2 linked regions of the Nothobranchius furzeri genome follow. The protein of the gene in region 1 purifies or fractionates together with the protein of each later gene. This does not show direct contact. Links are inferred from orthologs where the notes say so. Each region holds a gene or a part of one and is shown on either strand. Other genes may lie near its edges. The genes, in order: nat10 and thumpd1.

Region 1 (3,828 bases):
CGAGAACAGGAGCTGAAAGACCTTAAGGAGTCTCTTCAGGACACTCAGCCTGTTGGTGTGCTGGTGGATTCCTGCAGGACCATGGACCAGGTCAGCACCACTCCAATGCTACCAGCTTATACCACCCATTCAAGATTCTGAGGCTTTACACTACATGGAGTTAAAAAGTGCTATCATTAATATGTCAGCAAGCTGCAGGTGACAGCATCGGTTAAACAATCCTATCAGAAGACGCATCCTTATTGTTAAAAGGGAGTTTTCCTCTCCACTGTCGCTATATGCTTGCTTAGTATGAGGATTGCATCAAGTCACTGACTAGTGTCAGTGACTTGATGCAATTTGCTGGGTTCCTTATATAGGAAACATTATTTCTGATTGGCTTAATGAACTGACCTTTATTGGAATGTTTATTATGTGAAGTGCCTTGAGACGACTCTTGTCGTGATTTGGCGCTGTATAAATAAACTTGAATTGAATTGAATTGAAGGATGTAATCCTGTTTTCCTGCAGGCAAAAGCAGTGCTTAAATTTATCGAAGCAATCTCAGAGAAGACCCTGAGGAGCACCGTTGCTCTGACGGCCGCTCGAGGTCGAGGCAAATCCGCTGCCATGGGCCTGGCTGTGGCTGGAGCGGTGGCCTTTGGGTACAGATTAGTTTCGTGATGTCACAACATTACACATGTTGTGTCTTTGTCGTCCTTCATCCATCTGCCTTTGTCTCGTTCAGCTACTCCAACATCTTTGTAACCTCTCCAAGCCCAGACAACCTTCACACCATGTTTGAGTTCATCTTCAAAGGCTTCGATGCGCTGCAGTATCAGGTAGACCTGCTCACTTATTCTGTCTGATGGTAAATTACTGATGACGTAGAGGTATAAACACGTCACGCTTGTGTGAACACGCAGGAGCATCTTGATTATGAAATCATCCAATCATTAAATCCTGAATTTAACAAAGCCGTGGTGCGAGTGAACATCTTCAAAGAGCATCGACAGACCATTCAGGTAACCAGTGGATTTGTCGTATTGTTTCATTTTAAGAAGAGAGGTTTGAGCGTTCTTTTGTGCCCGGCAGTACATCCACCCAGGGGACGCGGTAAAGCTGGGCCAAGCTGAGCTACTGGTGATCGACGAGGCTGCGGCCATCCCTCTTCCTCTCGTTAAGAATCTGCTGGGGCCTTATCTGGTTTTCATGGCCTCCACTATCAACGGGTCAGTGGTAAAAACTGAAACATGTCCCTCAGAGAGCTTTGTGTTCATCGGAGTTCAGCAAACTAACCAGAATGTCTGTGCAGATATGAGGGCACCGGGCGCTCGCTTTCCCTCAAGCTGATCCAGCAGCTGAGGCAGCAGAGTGCAGAGACTCAGCAGAGCACATCTGCAGAGAACAGGACCACCAGCACAGCAAGGCTAGCAGCAGGTTAGCCTTAAAGTCTTTATTTTTATTGCCTAGGCTGTATGTACTGTCTAACTGATGTTTACCTGTTGCCGTACACAGCTCGCACTCTGCATGAAGCCTCTCTACACGAGTCGATTCGTTATGGTAGTGGAGATGCGGTGGAGAAGTGGCTGAACGAGCTGCTCTGCCTCGACTGCCTCAACATCCCCAGACTCATTTCTGGCTGCCCACTTCCACAGACCTGTGACCTGTATCCTTCAGTTTCTGATCAGTTAACCTGCTGCTGCTAAGAGACATCGACAAGTTCAGACTGACGGCCTTAACATCCTTAAATACAACAGGAAAATAAATGTGTATGTGTCCTTAGTGATGGCTGTCCAGCTACTATGTGAACAGAGACACGCTGTTTTGTTATCACAAAGCTTCTGAGGCTTTTCTGCAGAGGTTGATGGCGCTCTATGTGGCATCGCACTACAAGGTGGTCGGTTTTTCTGGAGCATATTATCACACGTTGTTCTTCCTGGTTGCTGACTCATTGTCTTGGCTCCAGAATTCCCCCAATGACCTCCAGATGCTGTCCGACGCTCCAGCTCATCACCTTTTCTGCCTCTTGCCACCTGTACCTCCTACTCAGAACTCGCTGCCCGAGGTCCTCGCTGTGGTGCAGGTAATCTAGAAACACCCTAAGATCCAGTCCAGTCGCTAACGGTTTCACATACTTCTTTGTTTTGTCTGCTATCTCAGGTGTGTCTGGAGGGAGAAATATCGAGGCAATCTGTCCTCAACAGTCTGTCCAGAGGGAAGAAGGCCTCAGGCGACCTCATTCCCTGGACCGTGTCGGAGCAGGTGACCACCAATCAGAAAGCTTTCTACAAACTTAAGTTTTAAAACTGAAATGAGGAATGCTTTTCTCGCCTCATCACAGTTTCAAGATCCAGACTTTGGCAGCCTGTCTGGAGGCAGAGTGGTTCGAATAGCAGTCAATCCAGACTACCAAGGGGTGAGAACACGTAAACACTACGGTTAACTGGTTGTTATGCAGTAAGCGGTCAGGAGTGGTTTGTTTAGGCTTTAGCAGCCAGAAACCTGGATTATCAGTCAAATTAAAGGAGGGACAGGAAGGCTCCCTCTCTGATTAGATTTTGAATTCAGCTGGTTTATTGTCAATTTAATGCTCAGTGTTGCCAAAAGTCTTTAAAAATAAATAAGTTGACATGAAGTCAAATATAGAGCAGCAACAGACGTTTCAGGAAGAAAGACTCAAAGAGACCTAAAACAATAATAAAGCTCTCATTTCGGTATATTTGCAGTGGTCTCTAGTATTAATGGATGACTTGTGGGTCGATCTCTGTGGCGCTAGTCCTTTGTGTCTGCTCTGGCGCTCCTGTTTGGAGGGGTCAGGATTTTGAGTCTTACTCATTAAAATTCATGATATTCAGACATCTCTCCTCTGATTGGCTAACAGCAACACAACTCTACCACTGACTCGGTTTGCTCTGCACAAATAACACAAGCCTGGAGGAGTTCTGCTGTGTGGTGGAGTTGATAATGCTAACAGTTAGCTTCTACTAGCTAAGACGTTCTCTGTTGTTTCCTGGACGCTAAAACAGCAACAGCCTTCCCCGTCCCGAGTCGAGATGGGCGAGTCCATGAATGTTAAGTGACAGAGTGATGTAGATCTGTCAGGATTTTTAATCCTAGCGTTTCATCGTCTATTTTCTGTCAGAATCTATGCGGGAGATAGGTGTAGGAGACTATTTTCATGTTCAGCCTGCATGAAAACTCAGTGACAAATCATATTTCTGTAATAAGAAGGAAAAATGGTTTCTCAGTGAGCGTGTTCTTTAAACATCCATCTGTGCAAACACACAACATCATAAATAATTACTCAAGTTAGATAAATATCACGTTACTTGGTTCGAATACAGAGTCGCTCTGAATTGAGTAATTTCAAGGCTCAGGCCCTCATCGGTGTTTATCGCCTTCATGTAGCCTAATGAAATCATTACACCACGGTGGCGGTCGGCAGCATGGGCCTTTAGGACAAGGTGAAAATGTGCTGCATCAGCTCCATAGAAGGTAATAAGTGAAATCCAGATGAAAGTGAACCTATTTCTACATAAAATTACGAAAGCGAACAGAGTTTGTTTATCTCTAGAGTACGTAGTAATTCCTAGAAAACAGAAACAGCACAGGCCTTTTGTCCACTAATTTTTAACCACATTTATTATGAGTGCTCTGAACTAACGTCAGTTAATTTATGCTTTCTGTAAAGATTTGCAGCGCTTTGACTTTTCCTATGGAGGAGGACCTTTGTTAATGCTGTATTAAAAATGCGTCTGATCGTGCTTTAAACTTGAACCACAGCGTCAGAGAGACAGATCCCAGATCTGGTGTAACTAGAGACTCATCCTGTCCAACAGATGGGCT
Region 2 (2,551 bases), about 51 Mb from region 1:
ATCAGCAGTCATGAGGTCGCACGGACTTCTGGCGTGTTTAATATTTTGCTCGTCCCTCGTGAGGGTATCGCACTGTTGAAGCGGCGCTGCGAGCAGCTGCGGCCCAAAAAGTATCAGAACCGCTCACGGCGCATGCGCAATCCTTTATCAACACTGCTCCCCGCTATTTCCCTAATAACACACGCTGTTTGTTTTTATTTCTACACGTTTTTTTACTCACAAAGATTGTCAAGAAAGCGTGTTTGTCGTGTTCATGTCATATTAAACTGATCACAAAACACAGATTTACTTTCTTTATTTCGTTTCCTCATCCAACCCCCATAAATCCCTGTGTGTCCTCCTGCAGCTCTCCCGAAGGACAACAGGCAAGACAAGACAAAAAAGTCTGACGTGTTGAGTAAAAACTGCTATTTTTAGCATATTTTTAGGTCCGACGTGTTGCTACCAGACGTACAGTGTGAGCAGTCAGGTCGCATCCGAGAACTGGGTCGTACAGTGTGAGCGCCTGGCTCGTGAGATCTGCCCTGCGAGGAAGTCGTACAGTTTGAGCTGAAGCTGAACGCTGCGAGTGAAAAAGTTGCACAGTGTACGCCCGGCTTTAGTGTTTCTCTCATTTAACGAAACGGATGCAACCTCAATCATGCCCTTATATGATAGACAAGCTTGCAAAATTCTTATGCTTGTTTGTCCAGAATGAAAATACCAGCATAACACAGTAGAATGTAGTAAAACTAGATTGGGTTGTTTACCAACTAAAAGGTTAAGGGAGAAAACACATAAAAAGCAGTCAGTTTATTTTGTTCCTAACAAACACCTCACTCTTGAAGGACCATGCTACTTCACACTACCTCTACATCTTATAAAAATTGGAAGACACCCACCTGTCGATGCACTAAACAGTAATGAGATAACGTGGTTGTGTTTTTTATCACGGTTTTACATGCCATTGTCTTTTTTTTTTTTTTTTTTTTTTTGATGAGTCTGCAGTTTTCCCTTCAACACCTGCAGTCGCTGATGTTTTCTTCTCCTTCAGGTCATTGGAACATGCAGGGCTTACCAGGAAGATATAGTAAAATATCTGACCACGTTCCTGGTGCCTTGGTTTAAAGCTCCCAACAGCACAACCTACAAGATCGCCTACAAAGCTCGCAACAACAACCAGAACAAGCGAGAGGAAATCATCAAACATGTTGCAGGTTAACTCAGGTTCATGTTTATTTTTTAAATTTTTATGTTTTTTGACGTCGAAAACTGACCAGTCAACTTTTCACCAGTTCAGGTGTTTTGGGAAGCCTGAACCAGGAAAACAAAGTGGACCTGACAAACCCTGAGCTTACGGTCATCGTGGAGGTCATCAAGGCCGTTTGCTGCGTCTGCGTGGTCAAAGATTATCAGCTGTACAGAAAGTTTAATGTTTATGAAATAGTAAAAGAAGACGTTCCCAAACCTGCTGTGGTCGCCACAAACACTGACGCAGAAGAACTCGGTAAAGGAGAGTCCGAGAAAGTGGAAGAGAAGACGGGTGAAAAGGAATCCCAAAAGGAGAAGATGAATAAGGGTGCTGAAGGTGTGCAGGTGGAGAAGAGGGCAGATGGCTGTGAGGACAATGAGGTTAAAAAGGGAGAAGATGGCGGGGATTAAAAGTTGACAGAAATCAGTCTGCTGTTGAGGCTTCATCTCAACGTTATGGTCTCAAAACCTTTGCTAAACAAAACAGATTTTTTTTTTTTTTTTACAAAAGTCAGAAAGATCTAATGTTTTATTACTTGATACATCTGAGCGTTCATTAGTTTAGAGTTATTTTATTAAATCTGCATCTTAAAACACAATTTAGTTCTGGCTAGGTTTTAAATGTGAATTCTGATTTCAATAGTCTAGTTTTACTTTTTTTATTTTACACAAAGTTGACATGAGGACAACATGATGGATATTCTAAAGATGAGATCTGACTATTTATAGGCAGGAACCCATAAGAACCTAGCATGAATCCACCATAAAAACTATGTGGTACCTGACCTGTCTGTTTTTTGTTTTTTCCTGAACTCTGCAGATTTAAAGCCATTATTTTCTTTGATTATTCAAAGCAATCTCTGTTCTGTACTTTTTCTAATTGATGTTTACATTTTAAGAAGGAAAGGGAATCGGATATTAAAAAGAAATCTGCTCATCCTGAATCGTTCTGGTCACCAGCTCTGAACATGAGCACCTCATCCATGAAATACAGGTGCTGGCCAGTAAATTAGAATATCATCAAAAGGTTGAAAATATTTCAGTAATTCCATTCAAAACGTGAAACTTGTACATTATATTCATGCAATGCACACAGACCAATGTATTTCCAATGTTCATTACATTTAAATTTGATATTCATAAGTGACAACTAATGAAAACTCCAAATTTGGTATCTCAAAAAATTAGAATATTCTGAAAAGGCTGAATATAGAAGACACCTGCTGCCACTCTAATCAGCTGATTTACTCAAAACACCTGCAAAGGCCTTTAAAAGGTCCCTCAGTCTTGTTTTGAAGGCACCACAATCATGGGGAAGACT

The links.
Region 2: the proteins of nat10 (region 1) and thumpd1 purify together in Homo sapiens (co-immunoprecipitation; 3 studies listed by BioGRID and IntAct, counting the BioPlex papers as one, with this or other methods). This does not show direct contact. The link is inferred for Nothobranchius furzeri from reciprocal best matches to the Homo sapiens genes NAT10 and THUMPD1.

What each region holds. Positions count from the first base shown.
Region 1 is NC_091744.1:58,958,100-58,961,927, forward strand, and holds part of nat10 (RNA cytidine acetyltransferase), read left to right. Parts: coding exon 1-90; intron 91-510; coding exon 511-644; intron 645-727; coding exon 728-821; intron 822-905; coding exon 906-1,004; intron 1,005-1,074; coding exon 1,075-1,211; intron 1,212-1,294; coding exon 1,295-1,419; intron 1,420-1,497; coding exon 1,498-1,648; intron 1,649-1,779; coding exon 1,780-1,876; intron 1,877-1,948; coding exon 1,949-2,065; intron 2,066-2,142; coding exon 2,143-2,244; intron 2,245-2,323; coding exon 2,324-2,398; intron 2,399-3,821; coding exon 3,822-3,828. UniProt on the Homo sapiens protein: RNA cytidine acetyltransferase that catalyzes the formation of N(4)-acetylcytidine (ac4C) modification on mRNAs, 18S rRNA and tRNAs.
Region 2 is NC_091744.1:8,209,229-8,211,779, reverse strand, and holds the end of thumpd1 (THUMP domain-containing protein 1), read left to right. Parts: intron 1-1,033; coding exon 1,034-1,196; intron 1,197-1,279; coding exon 1,280-1,641; 3' UTR 1,642-2,015; downstream 2,016-2,551. UniProt on the Homo sapiens protein: Functions as a tRNA-binding adapter to mediate NAT10-dependent tRNA acetylation modifying cytidine to N4-acetylcytidine (ac4C).